7 linked regions of the Nothobranchius furzeri genome follow. The protein of the gene in region 5 interacts with the protein of the main gene of each other region in a pairwise test. Links are inferred from orthologs where the notes say so. Each region holds a gene or a part of one and is shown on either strand. Other genes may lie near its edges. The genes, in order: marchf5l, amfra, pstpip1a, rnf111, ube2wb, rnf26 and xiap.

What was found.
Region 1: the proteins of ube2wb (region 5) and marchf5l interact in binary tests that used the Homo sapiens proteins (3 or more experiments, as listed by UniProt). The link is inferred for Nothobranchius furzeri from reciprocal best matches to the Homo sapiens genes UBE2W and MARCHF5.
Region 2: the proteins of ube2wb (region 5) and amfra interact in a two-hybrid assay, tested with the Homo sapiens proteins (2 studies listed by BioGRID and IntAct). The link is inferred for Nothobranchius furzeri from reciprocal best matches to the Homo sapiens genes UBE2W and AMFR.
Region 3: the proteins of ube2wb (region 5) and pstpip1a interact in binary tests that used the Homo sapiens proteins (3 or more experiments, as listed by UniProt). The two-hybrid records come from large-scale screens. The link is inferred for Nothobranchius furzeri from reciprocal best matches to the Homo sapiens genes UBE2W and PSTPIP1.
Region 4: the proteins of ube2wb (region 5) and rnf111 interact in a two-hybrid assay, tested with the Homo sapiens proteins (2 studies listed by BioGRID and IntAct). The link is inferred for Nothobranchius furzeri from reciprocal best matches to the Homo sapiens genes UBE2W and RNF111.
Region 6: the proteins of ube2wb (region 5) and rnf26 interact in a two-hybrid assay, tested with the Homo sapiens proteins (2 studies listed by BioGRID and IntAct). The link is inferred for Nothobranchius furzeri from reciprocal best matches to the Homo sapiens genes UBE2W and RNF26.
Region 7: the proteins of ube2wb (region 5) and xiap interact in a two-hybrid assay, tested with the Homo sapiens proteins (2 studies listed by BioGRID and IntAct). The link is inferred for Nothobranchius furzeri from reciprocal best matches to the Homo sapiens genes UBE2W and XIAP.

Annotation. Positions count from the first base shown.
Region 1 is NC_091746.1:37,374,301-37,378,532, forward strand, and holds the start of marchf5l (E3 ubiquitin-protein ligase MARCHF5), read left to right. Parts: upstream 1-1,432; 5' UTR 1,433-1,481; intron 1,482-1,811; coding exon of another isoform or gene 1,812-1,859; exon of another isoform or gene 1,860-1,995; intron 1,996-4,232. Other genes in the region: actr1b (actin related protein 1B), read right to left, coding at 510-585, 789-853, 1,812-1,859. UniProt on the Homo sapiens protein: Mitochondrial E3 ubiquitin-protein ligase that plays a crucial role in the control of mitochondrial morphology by acting as a positive regulator of mitochondrial fission and as an important regulator of immune response.
Region 2 is NC_091749.1:54,393,156-54,397,339, reverse strand, and holds the start of amfra (E3 ubiquitin-protein ligase AMFR), read right to left. Parts: upstream 2,801-4,184; 5' UTR 2,661-2,800; intron 2,196-2,660; 5' UTR 2,139-2,195; coding exon 1,881-2,138; intron 1,789-1,880; coding exon 1,696-1,788; intron 1,578-1,695; coding exon 1,413-1,577; intron 1-1,412. UniProt on the Homo sapiens protein: E3 ubiquitin-protein ligase that mediates the polyubiquitination of lysine and cysteine residues on target proteins, such as CD3D, CYP3A4, CFTR, INSIG1, SOAT2/ACAT2 and APOB for proteasomal degradation.
Region 3 is NC_091744.1:68,453,528-68,457,653, forward strand, and holds the start of pstpip1a (proline-serine-threonine phosphatase-interacting protein 1a), read left to right. Parts: upstream 1-1,326; 5' UTR 1,327-1,437; coding exon 1,438-1,467; intron 1,468-2,127; coding exon 2,128-2,228; intron 2,229-2,301; coding exon 2,302-2,376; intron 2,377-2,491; coding exon 2,492-2,526; intron 2,527-2,624; coding exon 2,625-2,731; intron 2,732-2,832; coding exon 2,833-2,895; intron 2,896-3,185; coding exon 3,186-3,290; intron 3,291-4,126. Other genes in the region: rcn2 (reticulocalbin-2), read left to right, coding at 659-802. UniProt on the Homo sapiens protein: Involved in regulation of the actin cytoskeleton. May regulate WAS actin-bundling activity. Bridges the interaction between ABL1 and PTPN18 leading to ABL1 dephosphorylation.
Region 4 is NC_091749.1:59,508,301-59,511,176, forward strand, and holds part of rnf111 (E3 ubiquitin-protein ligase Arkadia), read right to left. Parts: intron 1,945-2,876; coding exon 1,849-1,944; intron 1,587-1,848; coding exon 1,500-1,586; intron 1,066-1,499; coding exon 962-1,065; intron 1-961. UniProt on the Homo sapiens protein: E3 ubiquitin-protein ligase. Required for mesoderm patterning during embryonic development. Acts as an enhancer of the transcriptional responses of the SMAD2/SMAD3 effectors, which are activated downstream of BMP.
Region 5 is NC_091747.1:53,051,291-53,054,790, forward strand, and holds part of ube2wb (probable ubiquitin-conjugating enzyme E2 W-B), read right to left. Parts: intron 2,369-3,500; coding exon 2,266-2,368; intron 1-2,265. UniProt on the Homo sapiens protein: Accepts ubiquitin from the E1 complex and catalyzes its covalent attachment to other proteins.
Region 6 is NC_091753.1:38,315,197-38,319,461, reverse strand, and holds the start of rnf26 (E3 ubiquitin-protein ligase RNF26), read left to right. Parts: upstream 1-1,465; 5' UTR 1,466-2,580; coding exon 2,581-3,924; 3' UTR 3,925-4,265. UniProt on the Homo sapiens protein: E3 ubiquitin-protein ligase that plays a key role in endosome organization by retaining vesicles in the perinuclear cloud.
Region 7 is NC_091741.1:25,549,248-25,553,406, reverse strand, and holds the start of xiap (E3 ubiquitin-protein ligase XIAP), read right to left. Parts: upstream 2,801-4,159; 5' UTR 2,642-2,800; intron 1,497-2,641; 5' UTR 1,447-1,496; coding exon 1,207-1,446; intron 1,121-1,206; coding exon 595-1,120; intron 493-594; coding exon 393-492; intron 304-392; coding exon 225-303; intron 1-224.

The sequences.
Region 1 (4,232 bases), on a different chromosome or scaffold from region 5:
GATTTTAAAAATCAGCAAGTTTTCCTCTCATGCGTCCTTCACTGGAGCTTTGTCAAACTAAAGTTCCAGCATCAAGTACAACCTGCAATGAAATTTAACCCTGAACCGCCCCGTAGACTGCAACATTCAAACAAGTAAAAGCAAAATTTAAATTAAGAAAGTTAACACATTTAGAATATATAGAGAAAAGATGATGGATGCAGAAGTGTTAATTAAAAGAGACATAACAGAAAGCTAAATAAAACGTTTAGAAAATGAGTAAGTGTGTGTAGAGGGGCATGGGGATCATATAACATGATTATCTGCATGTGAAGTGAAGGGGTGAGAGTCGACAAAGTGACGTGCTGGTATTAACCATAATAAGTGTGATGCAGCATGTGAAGTAACCAGCTCTAGATTTAGTTTTACATAACTGAATGAACCCTCTCCAGTAGTAGCACCCACTTTTGCCAGGAGCTACAGCTGTTAATGTTTTGTGAGCTGAGCAGCTAGCCGGCCAAAACCTCTACCTCTGCTTTAGGTCCGATGAAAAGATCTCCCTCCAGCGCCCCAGCCATCACACGCACATGTTTAGGACGTCCCACACTGAACACAAATATTCAAACAATCAAAAGTTACAACAAAAACAACACAAACCCATATTTTAAATAAATTCTTTTGATGGAGTCACTTAATAAATGCTATATGTTGCAGGTTTCCCAAATAAAAGGTGTTATCTAATATAGCATATGTTCCCATTAAAGATCTGGGAGGAGGAGATGTGCTGGAGGCTGTTTAAGGATGCTTACTAGTTAGGAAAGCAGTATTTTGGGATCTGGTCACCTGCAAAACCAGCCTTGATGACTCCCGAACCCTGCAGAGTAAACAGAAGCGACATTAGAGCACATCTTCATGAACTGAGCATTATGCTTCAGAAAGCCATGAGACTCAGCCTGAAGCTACAGTAGACACACACTCAGCCTGCTGCAACACTGGATTCACAAGCCTCTGATCTTACCATTTACTGTATTTTCTGTTGCTGTTGTTATTGACCAGTCCAGCTTTAACCTCAAGAAGCTAAACCAATCTGAAGTGAAATAAAGCAGATCGGTTTCTCCAACACTAGACTTGACAAGGACTAAAAGTTTGTCCAGCAACGTGGTAACAGTGTGGAAACACTACATACTTCCTGAACCCTGCTACATTAAAAACAAGAGAATTGCACTTAGATATGAAAGCATTAATAAAATGATGTTCAACACGAAGTTAAACTATTGTTCTGCCACCCTAAATGATAACAATGATATAGGTTCTGAATTCTGATCAGCATGGATTACTGAAAACGGTCAGCTGTACAAAACGGAACCAAAGCACAATTCTATATTTGCAGACATCAAGGAACTGCTCGACAGGACATTTAGGGCTTTGTCAACACTGAGAATTTCGAAAGAACCCTCCGAGTTTCAGGTACAAACTAAGAGATGCAACAAAACAAACAAGAGGTGAGTTATTTATTCCCTTCGTGCTGCACGATGAATACTTCTGTATTTTCGTGGAGGTGAACCCCACGAATGATTCTGATGATAGCGACAGACAGCTAACGATTCAACCCATTAGCTTTAGCTCTCGCTCGCTTTGGGTACATTACCGTGCACTACTTGTACTAGTTATATTTCTAGGACAATAATGGAAATTCTTAATGCACATGCTGTAGGGGCAATGCACTTGGCCGAGCACAATGCAGGCTATCACCAGGAACACAATAGCCAAGCTAACGGATAGCAGCTAGCGGCCTCGGTTTGGGTGTGGGTGAATGACATCATCATACTTACATTATCAATCACAACCGGCTGGTTAGCTAAAATGTCATAGGACTCCATTACGAACAGAGTATTTAAAACGTCTTTCTATTGATCTGCAAGCTTCTCCCTCTCCGCTTAGTGTTTTAATCATGTAAAAGATAACGCCCTGTCACCGAGCACTGTGAGGTGTCGACGCCGCCGCGCTGTCTGTGTGCTGCTGGCTCGGCACCGCCCTCTTTCCAAAACAACCACAACAATCATTGCGTCTTACTTGATTGACAAGTACAACGGTCAATGGAATTGAAGATTACTTTTCACTGACGGGTAACGTAACCAATCATAATGTCTGAGTGTGCCACGTGAGAGCTTTGTCAATTGGAACAAATTTAAGGAATCCGTGCTCTGTTTACTGCTAATGTATGTACAGTAAAGACCACAGTTTCACAAAGTTATTCTATAGATAGATAGATAGATAGATAGATAGATAGATAGATAGATAGATAGATAGATAGATAGATAGATAGATAGATAGATAGATAGATAGATAGATAAAGTCAGTGATGTGGAAGTCCATGTCAAGTCTAAGTCCTTAACTTGAATTTTCAAGTCATATTCAAGTCATCTGTCCAACTTCAATTTAATGACAATGAAAATAAATAAATTCCAGAAATAAAGCTTCTTAAAACTTCATTTATTTGATCCAACAAGCAGAACGTGACACTGAAATTGATCGTCGTCGTCGTCGTCTTCCTCTGCTTATCCGGGTCCGGGTCGCGGGGGCAGCATCCCAATTAGGGAGCTCCAGGCCGTCCTCTCCCCGGCCTTGTCCACCAGCTCCTCTGGCAGGACCCCAAGGCGTTCCAGGACCAGATTGGAGATGTAACCTCTCCAACGTGTCCTGGGTCGACCCGGGGGCCTTCTGCCGGCAGGACATGCCCGAAACACCTCCCCGGGGAGGCGTCCAGGAGGCATCCTGACCAGATGCCCAAACCACCTCAACTGGCTCCTTTCGATCCGGAGGAGCAGCGGTTCTACTCCGAGTCCCTCCCGAATGTCCGAGCTCCTCACCCTATCTCTAAGGCTGAGCCCGGCCACTCTACGGAGGAAACTCATTTCAGCCGCTTGTATCCGCGATCTCGTTCTTTCGGTCATTACCCAAAGCTCATGACCATAGGTGAGGATTGGGACGTAGATCGACCGGTAAATCGAGAGCCTGGCTTTCTGGCTCAGCTCCCTCTTCCCCACGACAGATCGGCTCAGCGTCCGCATCACTGCAGACGCCGAACCAATCCGCCTGTCGATCTCCCGATCCCTCCTACCCTCACTCGTGAACAAGACCCCGAGATACTTAAACTCCTCCACTTGAGGTAGGACCTCTCCCCCGACCCGGAGGTGGCAAGCCACCCTTTTCCGGTCGAGAACCATGGTCTCAGATTTGGAGGTGCTGATCCTCATCCCAGCCGCTTCACATTCGGCCGCGAACCTACCCAGCAAGAGCTGAAGGTCAGAGCTGGATGAAGCTAGGAGGACCACATCATCCGCAAAAAGCAGAGACGAGATTCTCCTGCCACCAAACTCGACACACTCTACACCACGGCTGCGTCTAGAAATTCTGTCCATAAAAGTGATGAACAGAACCGGTGACAAAGGGCAGCCCTGGCGGAGTCCAACCCTCACTGGGAACAGGTCCGACTTACTACCGGCTATGCGGACCAAACTCACGCTCCTCTGGTAAAGGGACTGAATGGCCCTTAACAGAAAGCCACCCACCCCATACTCCTGGAGCGTCCCCCACAGGGTGCCCCTGGGGACACGGTCATAAGCCTTCTCCAAATCCACAAAGCACATGTGGATTGGTTGGGCAAACTCCCATGCCCCCTCCATCACCCTTGCAAGGGTATAGAGCTGGTCCACAGTTCCACGGCCAGGACGAAAACCACATTGCTCCTCCTCTATCTGAGATTCAACTATCGATCTGACCCTCCTCTCCAGTACCTTGGCGTAGACCTTTCCAGGGAGGCTGAGGAGTGTGATCCCCCTATAGTTGGAACACACCCTCAGGTCACCCTTCTTAAAGATGGGGACCACCACCCCGGTCTGCCACTCCCTAGGAACTGCCCCCGATGACCACGCAATGTTGTAGAGACGTGTCAACCATGACAGCCCTACAACATCCATAGCCTTGAGATACCCAGGACGAACCTCATCCGCCCCCGGGGCTCCGCCGCTGTGTAGTTGTTTGACTACCTCAGCAACTTCTGCCCCCAAGATCGGACAGTCCATCCCCAGGCCTCCCAGCTCTGGTTCCTCCTCGGAATGCGCATTGGTGGGATTGAGGAGCTCCTCAAAGTATTCCTTCCACCGTCCGACTATAGCCTCAGTTGACGTCAGCAGCTCCCCATCCCCACTGTAAACAGTGTGAGCGAGTTGCTGCCTTCCTCTCCTGAGGCG
Region 2 (4,184 bases), on a different chromosome or scaffold from region 5:
AAACATTCCAGGGTGACATACACCAATGTCCTTTGCACTCCTGACAAATGACACTTTGCTGCACCTCCTCCTTCGTGCTTCATGCTGTAAACGCATCCCTCCAGCAGAAAACCTCCCACTGTGACATATGTGTGTAAACAGCACATGTGGGGGAAAGTCTGCACACCCTTCTGAACACCTCTGGTGTTCAACTGTACAAGAAAAAACAATGTTTTTTTCCACAGAGTTGGGGACAACTTTCAACTCTAGGTTCAAAGCAGTTAACTGTCCTATTAAAAACAGGAGAAAACTAAAGGTGGTTCAGTTGCTAAAAGTAAGAAAAGCAAGTTGTACGACATGCATACGATCCAAAAACTCAAATATAATAATAATCCTTCAAAGGTTTCCCCTAATATCATGTACAGCCCACAAAATAAATTATTTAGGAACTACTTATGATAATTACAACAGCTGAGCTACAAGACATGACATGGGTGTCATATGTACCACACAATCTCACCAAATTACCCAAAACACACGCCAAATCTTTTATCTAGAGCTGCTGAATGTGCCATATACCCCCAAAGGCACAAACCTGCAGACGGATGGAAACAGGAAAACAGCTGGGTTGAACATAACCGACGTGCTTGAGTTTATAAAGACAAAGACCATCTCATTGTTTTATATGAAGAGAAAGTGTGTGTAATATAAAATATTTACACAAAACAGGTAGAAAAAAATAACTAGTCACTGTTACATTATAGCTACATTATGTTTAGGAGTTTTTCTTAAATGTCACAGCTTGCATGATGGTAATTCAATTTGATATTTTGTTTTTCTCATCTTGTGAGACAGGAGAGTGTTAATGTAGCAACTGAAACTCTACCAGCAGGCAAACATGTCAGAATATGGAGCTATTTATAGAGCTGGAGCTGGAATAAGTACATCTGCACTCAGACTTCTGAAGGACTTTCAGGGTGCAAAGAGGTTTGTTAGTTGGATTTACTCAAAAATCATGTATTTTTACTTTTTTACAATTTAAATCTTAATGAAACAAGACATATCCTGTGTGCAAAACAAAGGAGAAGGTTTTAAATTGCGGTATTTAGGTATTTTATTGAATAGACTGAACTCCTTCTGCTAGAAAATATTTAAAAACACATTTAGATTTTTGATTTTTAATTTTCTATACATTTAAAGTGATAACAAGCTGCATGTGGTGGTGTGTAAATGATTGAAAACCACTGAAACATACAAAAACAATGCAGTCCCATGCAACCAAAATGTTGGTATTCTCAAATTAACCAGTTTTACTTAATTCTCAATTGGAGCTAATAACTTGCAAACCTGTATAATTCAGCCCTTGATGACCCTGAAACATGTATGGGGAGGTGGATGCAGTGAAAAGAGATGGTGTGATAAAACATACTTACATATTCAAAACGATCTTTGCAGAGCTGTACCATGAGATGTAGAAAAACGAGGGCAGAGAACCACAAGCACCACATGACCACCTCCTCCACAGTTTGCACGTTCAATACTCCAAATATGAAAATGAACTTGTAAAAGATGAAATTCCAGAATTTATCCTTGAGATGCTGGGAGAAAAATAAAAAGCAAAATAAGATGCTTTTTTCTGACAATAAGCACTAAGTAAGTTGTACATTTTAGAAAATATATTTATTCCAGATATTTGAGCAAAACAAACAGATTCACCTGCTTTTCAATGACTCTGAGTGGCCCAAACACCACATACTGGATCATTTTAGCAATTAACATTAAAGAACAGCAGAATGTGTTGACCAAGACCTGCAAGAATGTGGAGAGTGGCATGATTATTAGTTTATTGCATGAGGAATATTATATCACCTGTGAAAACTCGTAATGGGAAGGATGCTCACCCATACAAAGAGACTGTCAGTAACAAGATACCACAGGACAGTTCTTGCCAAGTCTGTGTTGCTAACTGCACTACTTAGATGATGTTCAAGGTTAAATTCGGATGGAGCTGGTGTATCCTCGGTCTCCAAGGCCCCAAAGCCCGGGTCAGTGACAGTAGTGTAGGCACTGAAGATGCTTCCAGCCAGCAAAGCCACACTCAGGGCTGTGTAGGTCTGCAAGCTGGGCCATGGAAACCTCTCCATAAACAGCAGAGGCATTGCAGTGCTTGCGGTCCACTTCCTGACTTGTAAAAACTATGTCACTCCACCACCTGCCTGGGAGGGAGTTAGCAAAGGTTAGCCAAACTTTAATGAGCAAGGTGTGAGCACTATATAATCACCCTTGTGCTGGCGATCGCAGTTACTTAATTAGGGATAAACACATGCAACAAGCGGCCATTTCGAGGGTGTTATACTATCTTTACCTTTTTAAAACTAAAAGAAAGGCTAAAATGAGAAAATGGCTAGGCTAACCTCCAGATGAGGATCGACAATCCCATTGCTAGTGAAGTAAAACCGCAGCTTAATTAAAAATAATGTAATAAAATGTATAACTGGGTGGCTGAAATTGCAAACAGTATCAAAGGAGAATAAAAAATAAACAATAGTATTTCACGCCCAAAAGTGTTAAGTTATTTCCCTAGTGTTGCCTAATGCTAGCTTTCAAGCTAGCTGACGTTAGCTACGTACTTACGCGTTGTTGATAAACTCCTAATAGGCCTGTGTTGGGTTGCCACTTACAGATAGCCACAAAGGTAAACACGAGATCCAGGGTGGTGTGCTCTGAGCTGGGCTGGACTTTACGGGTTCTACACGAAAAACACAGCAGTCGTCAACATTGTTGTTGTTTATCTCACCGACAGTTAGCAGGCAACTAGCCGAGATATGACGTCATCGGGACAAATTTAAAGTCACAGTAATGGAAAATAACCCGACCTTACCAGCTCCGTCATTCATTCATTCATTCATTCATTCATTCACCGCTACAATTTGCAACATATCGTAATGTTTTAACTGCTGTGGTTTTTTTCTCGAGGAAAATTGAAATAGGTACGGAATCTTCACTTAGTGTTTAAGACAGTTTATGGTTAATCATTTATTTTGCATTAAGTTTTTTTTTATGTCAGCTGGTTTAAAAGGAAAAAACTAATGTTGAGACTCTGCATTTCTGCAAAATCAAAAAAGTTTCCTGGCAAGCCCTATTTATGTGAATATATATGCAGAGATGCAGTGCAACATCGTTTTGCTTCGGCTACACTCTGTCTAGACTTCTAGGCTAATCCATGCTTGCTGTTATTGAATTTTTATTAATTTCATTGCTATTTTAATTTTTAATTCAAGCAAAATGATATGTGGAGAAATATATTTCACTTCTGTCTATGCTGAAACTGTATCATGGAGGTGATTAAAAACAACTGACTTGAACTAATACAAACCCACTGCCCATTTTATAGAAGCGCCTTGCTTGTACCAGGTTGGTCTCTATTTTGCCTTCGAAGGGCCTTTATTCTTCTTGCCATAGGTTCATCAAGGTGGAAATATTCCTCAGAGGTTCTAGTTCATGACATTATAGCAGCACAGACGCGAATTTACAGGGAGTGCTGAATTATTAGGCAAATGAGTATTTTGTCCACATCATCCTCTTCATGCATGTTGTCTTACTCCAAGCTGTATAGGCCCGAAAGCCTAATACCAATTTAGCATATTAGGTGATGTGCATCTCTGTAATGAGAAGGGGTGTGGTCTAATGATATCAACACCCTATATCAGGTGTGCGTAATTATTAGGCTACTTCCTTTCCTTTGGCAAAATGGGTCAAAAGAAGGACTTGGCAGGCTCAGAAAAGTAAAAAATGGTGAGATATCTTGCAGAGGGATGCAGCAGTCTTAAAATTGCAATGCTTCTGAAGCGTGATCATCGAACAATCAAGCGTTTCATTCTAAATAGTCAACAGGGTCGCAAGAAGCGTGTGGACAAACCAAGGCGCAAAATAACTGCCCGTGAACTGAGAAAAGTCAAGCGTGCAGCTGCCAAGATGACACTTGCCACCAGTTTGGCCATATTTCAGAGCTGCAACATCACTGGAGTGCCCAAAAGCACAAGGTGTGCGAAACTCAGAGACATGGCCAAGGTAAGAAAGGCTGAAAGACGACCACCACTGAACAAGACACACAAGCTGAAACGTCAAGACTGGGCCAAGAAATATCTCCAGACTGATTGTTCTAAGTTTTATGGACTGATGAAATGAGAGTGAGTCTTGATGGG
Region 3 (4,126 bases), on a different chromosome or scaffold from region 5:
GGGCAGTTCTACGAGTCCGATCGCAGAGGGGATGAAACTGTTTTTGTGGAGAGAGGTTCTGGTCCGAATGGTTCGGAGCCTCCTGTCAGATGGGAGCAAGTCAAAAAGACTGTCCAGGGTGAGACGGGTCAGCTGATATCCGACCTGCTCGCCTCAATATCCTAGAGGTGTACAGGTCATGTATGAAGAGGGGTTTACAGCCAATGACCTTCTCAGCAGAGCGTACAACCTGCTGCAGTCTCTTCATATCACTGATGGTGGCTCCAGCGTACTAAAGGCCTCAGATGCTTTAAGAGCAGACTTAACAACTATAATTTAGATCTAAAACGGTTTGATCTTCTGAATTAAGGAACATTTTTTTTACTTTTATACACATCTGCTACAATAACAAAGTGACACATGTTGGCCCAAACAGGTTCTTACACATTATCTCATAAAAACAGCAACCAAAAGTACATTCTGTCTTTATTGTACTTCAGTAAATTAAACTGTGGGAGAGCTGGAAGAAGAAATGATGCATCTAAAGTTAGGCTGTCTATACGGTGCATTCTTTTTGTAACATTTCTGTCTAACCCTCTGCTGTCCACTACAAGTTATTGTTTGGAGGCATCAGTTGCCATATAATAATTTTTCTGTTTTCTTTACTCGTCATTAACAGGCTCTTCACCTCATAAAGGAAATGGACCTTGATGGGGACGAACGGATTTCACTGGCAGAAGTTTTAAAAAACCAAGAGATGTTCATGAACAGTGAAGTGACGGACTATGGCAGACAGCTGCATGTGTCACATGATGAACTATAACCTTGTTTTTCATCTTTTATAGAAACACTGTTTTTAACTAAATCAAAATTTTAGTTTTTTTGACTGATTATGTATTTTGTGCAACTGTGGAAACATAAACTTATATTACAGCAGATGTTTTATGTAACAAGTGACAAAAATGACGTGTCCTAATAATGTAATAATGTGATGTTACAAACAAAAGTGCTTTAAAATGAGTCACCTCCAAATCAACCAACACAAAATGTACAAACTGCTGTTCTTTCCAGTTGAATTGACACATTTGATCGGAAATCCCTGTTTTTGTATCATCCTCTTTGTAAAATAAGGAGGAACTCATTAACAACTTTTAATGATTTATCAAATAAACAATTGATCAAAACACACCTTACTGGGGTTTACTTGAACAGTTTTTAAAAAATGAAGTGAAGTTAGTTTTAATTCTATTTCGGTGCCGGAGTTAGTGTCGTTGCTGTTGTGAGCTCGATTGTGTCACCTCTTCCTGATTTAAATGAAATGACACTGCGAGTGAGAGTTGCTGCATGAGGGTTTGTTTCCTGAGTGTGTCCTGATGTGCTGCAGTTGCATCGAAGCAGACCGCCAAGTGGCACAACAGCGTGACTCGCTAACTGGAAACGTTACCAAACACTACCAAGATGGCTTTACAATTTAAAGACTCGTTTTGGGTGAGTTGGCTGAAATTTGCTGATTCATTTTTAGATTATATTTTATGTTCTAAAAGGAACAATGATCTCTTCTGAACTGTGAACCTCATCACTTAGATGTCAAATTTATTGATGCTTTTTTGTTTTGTTGTATGAGCATTTTGGATCACAAGTCATTTTGAGTCTGGCTTTATGTTTTAGACGTCCTCTGGAGATTTCTGTTAGCTTTTATTGCATGAAAAGTCATTAATCTGTACTGTTACTGTTCTTAATCACTTGATCGTGTCTGATTTTTAGAAGAAAGATGGGTAAAAGTAACAAAGCTTTTTTTATAGTGTAGCATGCTGCGATCCTACCCTTGAGTGTATATTCACATAAAGTCCTTTTTTTAGATAATTTCCTGTTAATCTGGCAACTCTTTGAGATTTTTGTGCTCTTGATTCTCAGACAGTCATCGGTTTTACAGATGTGAGGAGTTTTAACACCTCTGCCACTGCTTTTTCCAACAATGCAACAGTTTCTGTTTTACTAAATATGGCATGCTCCCTACATGAGGAAAGAAGAATAATGCTCACCAGCTAATGATTGATAATCACCGCCTTCAGAGTTTATTATTAAAATTATTCATTAACTGTGTGTTTTAAACTGCAAAGAAAAAGATATACCTCACTTTTTCTGCAGGGAAAAGACTTTATCAGCTGTGATGGTTACGAGGCCATTATTCAGAGACTCAATGATGGTCGGCGGACGTGTAAAGACACGGAGGAGTTGTTGAAAATGAGGTAAGTTGAGTTAGTTGTGTCTGTATTTAGAAACTAATATTTAAAAAGTGTGTGTTTGTTGATGTTTTCATAGAGCTTCAGCAGAGGAGAAATATGGAAAAGAACTGGTTTCAATCGCCCGAAAAGCTGGTGGTCTGGTTGAGATTTGGTGCGTGCCAAAGGGTTCATTCGTGCCCAAATGCTCATAATTTATGGTCTGATGTTATGTTATGTGTTTATGCATCAAGTAGAGTGTGCAGTTATTTTCTTCTTCCTTTCTGCAGCACTTTGAGGACTTCATTTGATGACATGAAAACACGTAATCATACCACATTACCCAGCATGACTTGTTTCTCTGTTCTGTTCTGCTTTTGTATTTAATTTTTTTTAATATATAATGTTTTGTTTTCTTTGCAGAAATGGAAAATGTAGGGAACTTGCACATCCAGCTTTCTGGTCTCCTAAAGGACGAGGTGAAGAGAATGGAGGAATTCAGAGAGAGACAGAAAGAACAGAGAAAAAAGGTGTCGACTCCCCCCTCCTCCCATTTTTGTTGTGGGTAAAAGAACAAGGAAACGCAAAGTAAAGAATTTCTTCTTTCTAACATAAAAGTCTTGTCACCCAGTTTGAAATCAGCATGGAGAAGGCTCAAAAGATGAAGGTTTCTCTCTACAAGAAAACTATTGAGGTAGGGTCTCTTAGTGATTGGTGTTCTATCCTACATCTAAGAATCAGATCCTGTGATTTTTACACCTTACACATACAAGAACATTAAATAGACTCATTTTTTTTTTACTTTTTAAAAACTTCAGTTTATGTTGAGAGGAAGGAGGTGTGTGATATTTTTTTGCAACATGCACCATGTCTTCTTTTTTGACTAAATACCTCTGCTTCCTGTTGAGGGTTCAGAGTGAACTACTAATGAACATAGATTCTTGCGTCAGAGTTTCATTGGGTCTCTGTTTCCTGCATCAACAGTCAAAAAAATCTTATGAGCAACGCTGCAAGGAGGCGGATGAGGCAGAGCAAACGGCTGAACGGCTGGGCAGCGCTCCCACAGCGACTCCCAAACAGATCGAGAAGGTAAACAAGCTGCTTTATTTTCTTTTACAAGATGAAGGGGATTATGTCTCTAGCGTTCAAACTTTTTAGCTGCTTTATTTTTAGCATCAATTGAGCATTTTTTCTAGCACATAAAATAGTTAATAATTTGGGTCAAATTAACTAAAAAGCCAGTCAGTTTGATTCATCAAACTTTGCAGCAGTTAATGATTTGCCAAATTATGTATGATGTGTCAGAATCTGCTCCCCTGCCCCATCATTTGATCTTGTGCTTCCCTGTTTCCCTATTACTCCTGACCTGACTCTGAAATAAAAGAGTTTCTGCTGTCTTGGTGGCCTCTCAGAAGCGTATTCATCTGGATTTGGATCCTCACCTTCCTACATCATGACAATAAGAAATAAAATGGGCAGAAATACATACACACTTAAAGAAACCAAACAACAAATAACATGGTTACACATTGTAACCCCAGATTCTAAGAGTATAGACGCAGCCCTTTAAAGGCCTCATTCAGGAAATTTCTCTGAATTACTCAAATGTGGCCCTTAAAGGAGTAGTATGCCGTTTTGGCTTGCTTTTAGCACCCTCTAGTGTCCGTTAGGTTAAAAAAAGTGAAACTTTATATCATCTTAATCTAACTGCTGAAATGTCTCCTCATCCCGGTTTCACACTGAAAGCATCAGCAGGGCGGAACGGCAGCGGAACGTCACTGCTTCAAATTGAATCCATTATAGGAATGTTTCAAACCAGCAGCGACGCGGCAATTTCCAGGCATGTCCCAGAAGTGGCACGCCGCTTCACTAAAGACGGGCTCGGGTTCTATTTTTGCTGCGTGTCGCTTCTAGAATGCGTCAAT
Region 4 (2,876 bases), on a different chromosome or scaffold from region 5:
TATACTTTTTTTCACGACTGCTTGTGGGTTTTTATCACAATTTCCACAACTCCCTCTTTAGAAAGTGCCTTTTAGGAATATTTAAATTAGGGATGCACACTATATCGGCATCAATATCGGTATCGGCCGATGTTAGGTATTTTTTAACAGATCTGTATCGGTCCGATAAATAAAACCGGGCTGATATTAACCAATATTTTTCCATCTTGTCTCCATTTGTTTGTATGTTTCAGAGGGTGAGGGGGTGGTGTGTATTTGTTCAGTCATGTGACAGTGACTGTAATCATCTAAGAAGCATAAATGTGTGTAAGGTGAGTACATAATAATGTAAATTCAGCTTTAATGATTTTATTTCTATACAAAATCTGCTGATTTTAGAAGCATTATTGTCAGTATATCGGTATCGGCAAACATCAGTTATCAGACATAACAGTGATATTAATATTGATGCATTACTAATTTAAATAACATCTTTTCACTACATCCCCTTTTGTTTCCTTCCTATAAATCATCTTTGGATCTTTGTTACCAAAAAATAAATTCTTAAGTTTGTTTTGAACAAAAACTGCCTAAATGGTCATTTATATTACAGATAAAGTATCACTTCTATTAAAGCATGAACATAAAACAGCTTTTACACTTGCAAGGTGACCCTTTGAGCCAACAGGGGGCAGAATTTGTTTTCATAAACCTGAGTGAGTGCCAGCTCCATGAGGAAGGTAATTTTGAGCCACTCTGGGATTTTCTGCTGATTACGAGAACTCCTTCGGGTTTATTTATTATCCTTTTCATAAGAAAAAAGATAAAAATTCCCATAAGATGTTAGCAAAGTGGAACGGCTGCATCTGCCATCCCACTTGTGCTCGGAGGCTCAGAGACACGCCCCCTTTAGAGCATCATTTAACACGCTAAAGCCTGTGAGCCAGGATCAGGGCGAACGCCCGGGAGGGGAGGCATTTACCTGACGTCCTCCCCCTCCTCCAGTATCGACAGACAGATGGTGCATTTTTCTTCCGTGTCTTCATCCGCCCCCTCGTCTTCGTCCTGCTTCCCGTGCAGCTTCCTCTGTTTTGGAGAAACATTTAAAAACACGACTTGTGATGTGCGGCGCTGATCAACAGAGCAGCTTCAGCAGAGCCGTTCCAGACGGTCAGTAATCTCATCAATTCATGTCAGCTACTCAGGTAAACAATTAGAATTAAAAGTATGACAGATTTAAAAATAAATCACATTATCCCCAAAAGAAGTAACTATGTTTACAACAAACACTTCAACAAAACAAACTTAAAATTTGGGAACAGAGAGAATGGTCGTTTTGTCGTGAAATAAAAATCATAAAAATAAAAAAATATAAACTTGCTTTTGTCATCTAAACAAATCAAAGTCATTTAAGTCATACACACAAGCCGAATTTCCCAGCCCCCAGAAATAACACTAACATCTAACGTACATGAGCAGAGACATGTGTCCAAATTGATTTGTTTGGGTTTTTTTCTCACCGATTCTGGGGTTGCGTGCATATTTTTCCCAATAGGAGCCCAAGCTTCAGGGGTTAACTGTTGGTCAATGTCTCTCTCCAACACCTTCTGTATTGGGTGGCAGGGTGTTAGATTGATTGCTTAGATACATTTGAAAACCTCGAAGGAAACCCCCTCCCCCAACAATTTTCTACACAGCTGCAGCCTCTGGTAAAAAAAAAAACACTAAAGGATTTCTCTAACATTAGATGTTCTAAAGGAGCACAAAAGACCAGTGAGCGCTCTGTCCCAGAATAAGCTGCAACAGACATGCACAACTACATCCAACATGTTCAACAATCTAGACGTGCAGACGCTGATCAGTGCTTACCTTTTTGTACTTGTGTGGGTAGGTGCACCTCTCTATGGTTCCCTGAGAGGCTCCTCGGTTCACAGTCCCCAGTCTTTCTTCTAAATGCAGCAGGTCCTGATGGAAACCACACACAAAAACGTGCACACTGTTACTCTACACCTGCAGACTTTTACCAACTCAAGGGGAGCTATTAATTTAATAACGTCAATCAGTTATACTAGAATTATCACAGGCCAACAATTGCTGCAAGTTATGCATAACTAATAATCATTTGTATGCTTTTGCCTCTAGTAAGGTGAGTTTGTACTTTTAGCACCAAAACATTGTAAATGTAGAAAATATCACATTAAAGGTGTGGGACACCTTTCAAATCAATACATTTGCAGTGATCTATAGTGGGAATCTATGCCTGGATATTGGGGGGGGGGGGGGGGTCTCAGATGCGCTTGTTGCAGCAACTAGACGAATGCCACATAAGAGGAGAGCTTAACACGACAGGATCTGGAGTCTTATTTGCTGATATTTGGACATCTCACCTCTGATTGGCTAACAGAAACATGGCTCTACCACTGACTATTTTGCTCTGCAACGCCGATGTTTTATCTCCACAAACAACACAAGCCTGGTGGAGTTCTGCCGTGTGGTTGAGTTGCTAATGCTAATGGCTAGCTTCTACTAGCTGAGATGTTCTCTGCTGTTTCATGGACGCTAAACCAACAACAGCATTCCCCGTCTTGAGTCAAGATGGGTGAGTCCATGAATGTTAAGTGACAGTTTGACATATCTGTCAGGATTTTCAAATCCCAGAGTTTCACCATCTATTTTCATATCAGAAGCTGATACGGGACATTGGTGTAGGAGACTATTTTCATGGTCAGCTAGCATGAAAAACTCAGAGACACTGATTATAATCAGAAATAATTATTAAATAATGTTTTTTTTCAGTGGACCACACCTTCAAATATATATTCAAAAGTCTAAATAACACTTTTCTGTGACGTGTTATGATAAAGTAGCTTATTTATTGGTCTTATACTTACAAAAAA
Region 5 (3,500 bases):
GGTAGACACAAAAGTTTTTCCACTTAAGTTTAGAAAAGTGGTCCTCTGGGCTTTAGTGCCCCCGCTGCAGAACTCTTAACAGATAGGTGCCAATATCGGATCATCTAGTGATGCTGAATTCAAACATTACTGTCAAAACATCATAAAAGAAAACTGAAGCTAAGACAGTGTAAGAAATGAGTGACCCTTTCAACTAGGCTGGATAAGGCTTCAGAGAGTGCAGAATGCAGCGGCTAGATTCCTGACAAACACCTCTTGACGCTGTCACATTTCACCTGTCCTTGCACGCTTGCACTAGCTGCCGGTTAAATATCGTATCCAGTTTAAGGTCTTAACCTTAGTTTACAACATCCTGAATGGTCAAGCCTCTGCTCATCTGTCAGAACTGCTCATGCCTCATGTTCCACCCAGAACCCTGAGATCAGCAGATCATTTACTTTTGTACATCCCAAAAATGAAGTATAAATCTCGTGGGGAGCGGGCCTTTGTGTTCGCTGCTCCTAAACTTTGGAATGCTCTCACCCTTAGTGTTCGACAGGCCCCAGAACTGGGTTGATTCAAGTCTGTACTGAAGGACTACTTCTACTATTTAGCTTTTGATCAATGACCAAGCTTTTATTGTTATAGAATCTTCCCTGTTGAAATGTGCTAACCTTTTAGCATTGTTTTTATTGTGACTTTGTTTTTACTCTAGTATGTTTCTTTTACATTTTTAGGTTATCCCTTTTATCTCTTTTATGATATTTATCTTGTTTTTATCTTGGGGTTTTCCTTTTACTACTACTGTACAGCACTTTGGTCAGCTGTCATGCTGTTTTTAAATGTGCTTTATAAATAAACTTGGTATGGTATGGTATGGATAAAGATCCACAAACGTGGATCTACAACAGCTTTTCTTTGAGCCTCTATTGGCGCTTACACATTAGCGTAGGTACGGGCCCATAAGGTACCGAACGGCACCGGAATTTGGTTTCACACACCGGTCCGATTAGCGTTTTCAGTGCCGAGGCGACTTTTTCCCAGACCTTCTCCCCAGCGGTCAGACTGGGACCGAGGCGACACTACGGACTGACTGGCCGGCTGAAATTACGCCTACCGCCTCCGATCTGCGAGAAGAATCAGCCAGCCGGGGGTTCCTGCATGTGCGGTTCATTTTCATGCTGGATGCTGTTGAGTTAACTTCTGTCTGTTGCACGGAGCTGCCGATCCGGAGCTGCTATTAAGTGTGGGAGCGGGAGAAAAGAATAGCTTTGTTTGAGTGTGTGTGTGTGCATGCATGCTCCCATTCTCCGCATCGGAGCTCTTGCCCCTCGCAAGCAGACAGCTGCTCAGGGGAGAAATCAGGGGGTGGGCGGCACAAGATTATGAGGGGACACAGAGTAAATTAATAAAATAATGTGGTTCAGAGTCTCCAAAAGCAACACAGCTCATGTCCGCCTTTTGGTACCTTATGGAACGGACTTTCCCGCGCGTATTAAGCGCCCCCCACAGGCTTGGGGATTTCCGCATCTTGAGAAGTTCCTCGGATTAATATGTAAACACTACACCGACCATACCAGCCCAAACTCACGCCATCCTGCCCGACCAAACCCCGACCGTTACGACGCTAGTGTGCAAGCGCCATATAAAGCACATGACACTTTGTTGGGGTCCACAATGCCCTAGGAGCTCTGATAATGAATATTAAATGAGCTGCATGCTGATTGGCTGGTTTAATGGCTCAATGACACTGCTCAAGCTAGAATCTCTGTACAGCAGTGTACAATATCCATATTATTCAATAGAAAGCTACAGATCTATCTGGCATTCATTATAAGTTTGGATATACCCTGTACATCCTGGAACGTTACATGTGTTTTCCCTTTGTTTATAAGAACATTAGCAGTAGCTCGGGCTAGCATTTTTCTGCAGTTAGCATTACTGAGATCAAAGTTTATTCATTGCGGATGTTGAAGTGGGTTGGAGCATGCTAATGTAGGGAGGTGCGTCTATGCTTATGACGCGTTAAACCAGTTTTTGTCAGGATGAACCGTTTCTCCGTGACCATTACAACTTTACTAATTTACAAGTTGCAGACTTTTTGGTACGCTACATAGACATCTCAAGTTGCCTCTATTCAACAACAAGGTAAAAGTGGTTGTTGAATTGTAGGACCCATTTAAATATGCGAACACACACACACACACACACACACACACACACACACACACACACACACACACACACACACACACACACACACACACACACACCCTTTGCTCTTACCTGAGGTGAATCAAAAGGATATCGACTACTAAATTTGAATAGCAGCTGAAATTTCTCTCCTTCATAGAGTGTACCGGGCGCTCCCTCCATATCTACAATCCACCTAAAAACAAAAAAGGACAATGATGACTAAAACATTCCCCCGGTGCCCCAATAAAGAACACAGGTTACCCAAATGTTTACTGTCGAATATAAACGTTACAGGGGTGGTAATCATATTTTCTGAACCATTGGTATTGAAGCTGCTTTACCAAATCAGCACAGCAAGTTGGCCATTCCATATAAACACAGTCAAAAGACTCTCATACCTCCGTCGGCTAGGCCACGCCCCCCAATACGGGAATGCGCATTGCCAGAGTAAATGGGAGAGCACAAATCAACAATCACATTTTTCTATGCCTAAACATCTTTGGTGTCTGTGACTTCAAATGGTGTTTTTTCTTTTTGGGACTCTGGTAGTTTGTCCTTAAGTTGAAGTGGTAGCAGCTGGCTGTTTCTCCTTATCTGATATTAATATTATATGTGCTTGGTCTCGTCTTGGTAACAAAGGCATTTTTACTTGGCCTTTAAAAATGGGACCCAATGCTTGACACAGCTTTAAAGGGTTGGATTGGGGGGTTAAACTACGAAATAGTTCCCGAGCGCAGCCGTGTCTGCAGCACACCGCGCCTCCCCACACAAGTGTGTGTGACAACTAGGGCTGCACGATATTAGGAAAACCGGCTATATTCGATAACAATGATTAAATTGCGATAACAATATTACTTGCAATAAATAAAAACTTATCTCATGAACAAAAATAATCAAAAACAAAGAAGAAAAAAAAAAACGAGAAAAGCAAAAGATGTGAGGAAAGGGAAAAAGATAATGAACAAGAAAAGGTAATCAGTGGATCCCAGGAAAAGCAGAATCAGCAAAAAGAGCAGAACAAAGCTAACTCATGTGTTTGCTAACCATCAAAATTAAGTACTGTCCGCCTCAGGGGCGGGCATCTAATCTATGAGAACCCACCCTTTTGGCCAAATGGGTGAAGAGCTCTATTTGATTTGTTAAAAAAAACATCAGGCTTCCATTTGATTGACAGAATGCATTATGTGTAGCAAACATTTGAGCTGATCATTCATTGCGATATTTATCTGTTCTTTGTGATATGCATATTGTGCAAGCTGATATCGCGATAACAATATATTTACGATATATTGTGCAGCCCTAGTGACAACTATGGGACTTTAATC
Region 6 (4,265 bases), on a different chromosome or scaffold from region 5:
ACGATCCTCTATCACGCTCCTACCACACAGAGTCACGGTGTCAGTTAACCATGCTAATTCAACCCCTCCACAGAACACACATCACCTTCCCTGTGGCTTACATAACACTCACACAACACAACTACCCCTGACTGCATCCCGGAGATCGGGGCGGGGCTAAATGTGGGCGGGGTCAAACGTTTAGAGGTGGGCGGAGACCGTGTACTGACACGCGATCGTTCATGTCGGTTCATTTCCTTTAATGTTTTCTGTCTTTTATTTGCGCCTGATGTGTTTCGCTGCTGTGGAGCGGGGCGCATCAACACCTCCTCCGACACACAGATCACTGATGCGCCCGGCAAGCAGGGAGCGCTCCGCTGTTTTCGCGGTCGGTAGATCTGCCTCCTGAGCACGGCCACAGTAACAATCAGGTGTCGCCACCTCAAAAACTAATTTAACACGCGATCGTTCATGTCAGTTCATTTCCTTTAATGCTTTCTGTCTTTTATTTGCGCCTGATGTGTTTCGCTGCTGTGGAGCGGGGCGCTGCGCGCATCACCTTGTCCTCCGATGCACTGATCACTTATACGGCCGCCAAACAGCGAGCGCTCCGCTGTTTTTGCGGTCGGTAGATCTTTTAGAACTGCAGTTCAAAGGTAACTCATGAGGTGAATATATATGAACCCAGGTAGCAGTTTCTCTTTAGGATTGAGAGGAGATGCAGGAAGATAATAAACAGACAGGACAGAAAAATAGTCAAATAAAAACAAGTTAGTTTTTGTACCTGCTGTTGCAACATACAGACACCATTGAAGGTAATCAGAAGTGAGGAACAGAAAATGAAATAATTATTTTAATGTTTAGAGCAGCAGGAACTCCGAGAGGCTGCAGGCGCATCAGTGAGTTTGCGGCTGCTGCGCAAGGGGAGGGGGGAGAGGACTGAAGCAGAAACTACCGTTGTTAAAAGAAATGTGTTTAACTTTGAAAATGTGGGTGCACTTTTAATTGTCAAAAACTCCAGCGAACCATTAGTTCATTTTGCTCAAATAGAAATAGAGGCCTGCCTCTAATACTGGCCCTCCTTCCAATAAAGGCCTGGAGCTTGATGAGCTTGAGTCAAATAAAGGCCCGGGCCTGTATTAGAGGATTTACGGTAATTTAACTAGTTTAGTTCTAGCTATTTGCACTGGAGGGCGACTATTCTCCCTTCTCGCTCACACAAGGTCAATATAAAATTGAACTTGTAGCTAGGAGAGTGTGTACAGTAGCATCACACAAACTGGAGCTATATTGAATAACTTTTTTCAGTTGATGCATTAGAGACATAAAAGATGATAGTTGGTGCTGAGATGACAGACATCACTGGAGCAGATGGACCTTCAACAGCAGTCCCAGAAAAGCAACATCCATGTATTTTGATTAGATTCGTTCCCATTATCCCATAATCTCTTTATATGGCATTCATTTGATTAGTTTAAAATCTAAAATTTCAATCCCCATGTGTTATTGTGGTATACAACCAACGTTTTAATCTGTTGATACATCTTTTTAAAAACATATTTTCATGCAGAAAATCACAGAAATTTCAAAACTGAAAAGTGATCATATTTGGCCGCCCTGTTCTAATAAAAAAAAACAGAATAAACAACATGATCTAGTTAAATAAACATCTTCCTCCTCTTCATTATAATCACTGATGGCGAGATTTGTCCTCCGTTTTTGTTAGAAATGTTAGAAAACAGTTAAATATATTCAGTGTTATAATTGCCGTTATTGTTAATATTGTTACCATCCTTACAAAGATTATGTTCAGGGCATATGATCAAATATGGCCCCTCTGATTTGCATGCTAGCACAACTAGTCGGAGGAGGCCTTGAGGTGGTGATGATGTGGCGGTGAACTTTGCCTGCAGTCATTACTAGGCCAGACCCTGCAGCTTTAACTGGTTTTGAGTTTGATGACACATTAGCAAGTTTTTTTAAAGTTCAAGTAAATCCATGAAACCTGTGTATGCATTTTTTATATTGTGTGTAATGGTTTAGTATGTGTTGTAAATAAATACATAATCACACTTATTTTTTTCAATTTTTACATTCATGTTTTGAGCGGTTTTGGATTATTTTGAAAAGTCATCGGAAGGAAGTAACGAGATATCCGCTCACTGACGTGACCAAAACAAATATGGCGTCTTCAGCGAAGATAGTAAACATTGTTATTTTACCCCTTTTTCATTTTTTTCTTAATTCCATCCGTCGATTTTGCTAACTGTGTGTTTTAAGACTGACAATATTTATCTAACCAGGTGTTTCTGGCTTTTATTAGCAAAGAGCGAAAACGAAACACGGAAAACTAACGGAAGTGTCTGCTCTCGTTCGAAACAAAACATCCGCTTCACTTTGAAACGCATGTGTTCCGACGAAACACTGAACAAACATGAACATGTAGTGTATTTCGTGAAACGAATGATGTTTTCCAGCTGCTGCTGAACTTACGTTCTGCTTAAGATGTAACGTATGAGGATATCAGGCGGAAAATCAACAATGAACTTGTGTACAACCTGGGAGGAGCATCGAGAGATAAACAGCTGAAGCTAAAGGACCATGGGTTTGGTGAACTTTGTGGTAACCTCTGTGGGGAAATGCCTGGATGCTCTGTGTTTACTGTTGGACCTGAACTTTCTCCTCGTCCACACCGTGGTGCAGACCCTCCTGGCGGTTGTGGCTTTAATTACCAACCTGCCCACCCTCCTCCTCCACTCCGTGCTGCAGGTGGGGAACTTCATCCTACTGTCCATTGTTCACATAGCAGAGGCCGCATCAAACCTGGCCCACAGCACAGTCACCCTGCTGGGAAGCCTGGTGCTGGCCCTGGAAGGGCTGCTGGAGAGCCTGAAGATGGTGGGTTATCTGTCCATGCACGTGCTGCTACGAGGAAAGGAGCACCTGTATCGGGGTTTGCTGTCAGTGCTGGAGGGCTGTAGCATCGCTGTCAGCCTGGTGGTCTATTTTACCAACACTGTGGTGAACTTTGCACTCATTGCCATGCAGAACTTTTACCTGTCAGTGGTGGGCGTGTGGCAGACGGTGTCCAGCCCGCTGCAAAAGGTTCTGGAAATGACCCTGACCACCCTCACCTTCTTGTACAGCTGCCTGGCTGGTACATCAGCTTTCCTGTGGTCTCCCTGCAAGCTGGTTTTGGATTTTCTGTTTTCCCTTTTGCATATGTTCATCTGCATCTTCATACTGAACATCTATGGCCTCCTGCTCACTATCACCATCGCCCTGATGACCACCGCCTACCTAAACCCAAGACTGACCCATCAGGCAGTTGTGCGCATTGCGGATTACCTGAACTCTTTTGCTTTTCTGCGCAGACTGTATCTAACTCACAGACGGCTCGCTTTAGCCCTGCAGAGAACCTCACATTATCTACGCTACAACATCCGACACCTGCAGATGATGCTCCACCATTTCTTTCTATTGGAGAGAAGATTTTGGCAGCGGCTGTCTCAAAACCGAAGCCGACTGGGTCTGGTTCTGTGGACACAACTCCGCAGGGACAACGGAGACAGAGCAGGAGGTGATGGAGACCCTGGAGAAGAGAGGCGGGGTCCACCAGATGGGAGAGCGGGAGACAGAGCTTATCCAGAGCTGCAGGATTCAATTCTTCCATCATCAAGCTCAGACGAGCCACTTAAGGAGTCTTCAGGCAGCGACAGTAAAAGCTTGCCAGCTGAAAACCTGCTCACTCTACTGAAGGAGCACGAGGAGAGGAAGAAGTGCGTGATCTGTCAGGACTGCACTAAGACGGTGGTGCTGCTGCCCTGCAGACACCTCTGCTTGTGCAGAGACTGTACAAACATCCTCCTCAGGCAGCCGATCTACCAACAGAACTGTCCTCTCTGTCGTCACATGATCCTCGACACTATGGACGTTTATCTGTGAGGGACCAAAATAAACTGATCCATTCATCTGAAGACAACAAGAGCTCCACAACCTTTTTATTATTATTATTTTATTTTATTTTTTTGCCTTCTGGTCAATCTCATGTCAAGCCACTCTGTTGTTTTACGTTTCAGGGATGCTCAGAAGTTTTTATAAATTTTTTTCAAATCTATAGGTTTCTGAATACAGACAAAACTCAAAAAATGTTTTGTTTAACCTTTAGAATCTTTTGACATAAAAAACACACCAAATTTCTTTTATAAAAAATTATTTTGAATGGTCCAAGCTTTTGAGAGCTGCAGATGATAATTAAAGAACAAAAAATACAGTTTCCCTCAAAA
Region 7 (4,159 bases), on a different chromosome or scaffold from region 5:
GACCTAAAGAGAAGTACATTTGGTTCCTTATGTTCCATAAAGTTCACTAAAACACACCAAATACAAGTAAAATGATTTAAAACACAATTCCAGCTGATTCAAACCTTTTCATTGTTTATTTTTTATAAATAAAGGGACTTGGGAATCAGATTGACAGGTAAAGTTACAAGCTATGGTTTGTCATATAATCACAATAGCAAGAAAAAAAGAAGGAGATTGCTTACAGCTCTACTTTGTTTGGGTCCATTTAGTTGGATGCTGTTGACAAATTCTACTCCTTTTTCTGCCAACAAGAAGCTGCATCTAATGGGGAAGAAAGTTACAGCAGCATAAATAAAAATGTCTCCATAATGAATTTTTATTGCCAAGAAAAGACAGATGTTTCCTCTAACCCTGGGTAGTATTTGGCGTGTTGTTCCCAGGGGTCTTCCCCAGGCTGCCAACCTTTCAAACTCCCACCACAACTGAAACACATCACCCTATCTCCCATTCCTGTAAGCACAAATCAGATGTGTCAAAACAAAATCAGAACAACGATATAACAGTGACTCATTTTTGTATGAGTTTTGTCCACAGATGACGATGGCGCTGTACCTAAGCTGTAGAAGCCCGCCGTGGCGAGACTCTTGTGGTCAACAGGGAGCTGGAGACCAGCAAAGCTGCCAAGTCTCCCCTCAAAACTCTCCATGGAGACCTGAGAACTGCTCTCCTGAAGCGGCACATTCCCCACATCATGCCCAAGTATGAAGAAGCAGTTTGGATAATGTTTGGAATGTTCACTCCAAGCATTGTCTTCTGGTTCCCAGTCACTCAGCTCGCCACCACAACAGAAACACCGCACTCGGTCAGCATTCATCAAATAAAAGAAACCAGCTTGTGCCAGGTCTCTGGGTCTCATAAGAGAATCAACGGGCCACGAGGAAAAGGTCTGAAGGCGGGCTTCCTCAGACGCCATCTGAGGGGCTTTAGGGTACATGGTGTCGTCAGTCACGGCTCCAGTTAACAAACGATACTCCATGTGTTCTGCAGCCTCGTTGTAGCCATTAGTGAGCGGGTTATGAAAGCTCGGGTTGAAACTGGTTCGGTGGCAGCATTTGAGAAACAAGCACGTTGGAGAAACCTGTACCAGGAAGAGAGATCATTATTTAAACCTCTAAAGCAGAACAAAAAGTCACAATCGTTCAACACTTTGAATCCATGATCTACCTCCTTGTGCCGCTCCACAGGCGTGTCATCGCTGGTCCAGTTCTCCACAGTCTTCTTGCAGCTGAAACAGCGGACGCGGTCTGCGTTGCCGGTGAAGTAGAAGCCTGCTCGTGCCAGTCGTTCAGCTGGAACTTGCTCAGCCAGGATGGAGCGGCGGAAGGAGTTCAGGCGATTGTTGAGCAATGAAAAATCCATAGCACCATCTGATTCCAGATGCTCATTTTCTTCATTATCACACATAATTGAACTAGGACCTTCCTGGATAGATACAGCTACTGAATGTATGAAGTCTGAGGAGAAAGACAAGCAGATTTGAAGGTTAGTCAAAAGTCCTAAATGTACTTGAATTAAAACAACAGGGAGCTGGTTTGAGCATCCAGGCTAAGCCTTTGGGAGAGGCAGCCAGGCTATAATCACATGCTGGTGCTGGATACTCTGTGTGAGGCATGGGAACAGGAAAGGCGGTGCAAAGGGCGTAACCTGATACAATCTACACTAAAGCAGCATTCCTAAATAGATTATACACAACAGTGACAAACACTGATAAAGTATTTGCTGTAATAAGGAGTCACAGTACATGCTGTACACGGGCTAATGACCCAAGATCAAAGCACGCCAGCTAAGAAAGCAGGATGGGGGGAATAGTTTTGCCACCTCTACACTGGCACATGGAAAATGTGTTCTCACAACCCAAATACTCAGAAAGCCCACTACATGGTGGAGGCTTAGTCCTAAAACTGTAACATCTAGTATGATTTTATCTGAGATGCTTTATTGATGAGGATCAGCTTTTGATCTTTGCACTGTTGTTGGCAATCTTTATAAAAAAAAAAAGTAGTCACCATGATCACGAGTGTGTCACAACTTAATGTGTGTTTAACCGTATGACAAACATGCACAATTTACGATACTGCACCATGGTGCCTCCTGGCATAATATAAAGCCACTTCTTTAAATGGCAAATATCTAAAACGAAATACAAATCTGCAGCCTTCTTTTTTAATTACAAATGCATCAATATTGATTTTAAAACTACAAATCCTTCCAAATAAATAAAATATATTTATTATAAATGAAGTTTGGTTTAACTCTGATCTATTCCAGTTCAAATGTCAGAACTGTAGAATCCTGGTAGCCCTTAATGTGGCTCAGTACACATGAAGTAGCTCTCTATGCTGGTGACCCTTGCTTAAACGTGGATGCTCGAGTTACCAAAAGCTAAAAACTAGCCTATATTATTCAAGGACACGCATTTCAATAAGCCTGCATTCTAAAAATAAACACATCAGCTGCTTTGATGTAGGTGCGTAATGTCGAGATAGTGACTTTGGGTTTTGACAGTTTGCTAAAGTGTCAGTTAGCTAGCTTCGTTAGCTTGTTTGCTAATTTGCGCAGTTGCCTAAATCGACCGTAGCCGGAAAACTACGGTATTTACCTTCACGCGCCCCTTTTGGTTCCGGTCTTCAGCTTGTAACTTTAGTCTGTCTTTAGTGTGAACTTGACCTGGAGCAGAATAGGATGATTAAAGAGCTCAGTTTGTTTTATAAAAACTATGAGGAAGCGAAAGCAAAGGGAGGAATCTGGGAACCTAGAACATTTGGCCCCGCCTCTTCAGTCACATGATCAAAGTACGCCCACGTGGGTGTTTCACAGAAACATGCCGTCTACTATCAACTGCCAACATACTTTAGGGTTGCCTAAATATGGTCAGTAACCAGCAAAAAGCGTTCATTTAAAATTTTAATGTAATCCCATCATGCACCTCAAACAATGTCTGAAGGTCATAATCTTATACCTACAATATTAGTGACCATTTTTAATCAGGATTGTTAGGACAGTGGCGGTCATCTCTTGTTTTGAGGGCCTCCATGTTTATCTGAGGTTTATCTGCTCTCTCACCTGATTGTATCAGCAAGTAATTGAAAGGTTACAGAGCTGCTGAAGAGGTGATTCAACCGATGGACCTGGTGTTGGAGCAGAGAAACTCAAGGCACAGGGTAGGGACTGATAATACAACCTGCATCTGTCACCAACAGAAATAAATGCCAGTGAAAGCTAATGGGATACATAAAATAACTATACTCTTTAACAGTCATATATCAACCTGAGATAATTTTCCATATTGGTGATTATGCATGTCAACTTTTTGATTCAAACTAAAAGTTGCCGTAGTAGTCAAATAAAACACGAGCATTGGTCTGCCCCATGCATTTCCAGTAAATCGTTAGGGATTTTTTTAGGGGGTGGGGGTTCACAGGTATTCTTATAATTTAGAATGGAGAAGATACATTTTCTATCTCTGTTATGTTATGATCATCTTCACAGATACATATTTTCTAAGAAAACATAAACAGCATAGTTTGAATGTGCCTCATCAAGTTTAGCTTAGCTGTAACTTTACTCAGAAACTACCTGTGGTATAACAATAACTTCATAAACGATCACTTGGTATTCTAAAACCCACTCCAGTCAGGTTTTTGTTGAATCATCATTATTATGATGTTAGGTATGATCAGTCCACTTTTTCCGACAGGTGTGAACCAGCTGATTTTAGAGTTGGTTTGCATACGGCTGCTTTGAAAAGGGGTAATCTGTGTGAAAATGGCATGTTTTGTCTTTAGGTTTGGACCTTACAGGTCAGAGTTGTGTGGAAAGAACATTTTTCATTGTCAGGCATGCCAACATCTAATGCTTAAATTCAGAACGCCTGTTGCTCAAAAACTAGCCCAAAGACAATAAATCATGCTTGATTGGAAAGGGTTACTCAAGTTCTGCACTTATGCCTTTTTCATTTGAGTTCTAAATTGGATTATAATAATATAATAATATAATAGGATTGTTTAGAAGATTATTTTCCTTATTGTTTATGCTTGTTAGTGGTTTTAAAGAGGTTCTTAAAACATAGATAATGTTAACATTGGTGGTGCTGAAACTTAAACCATGTGTGCTTAAC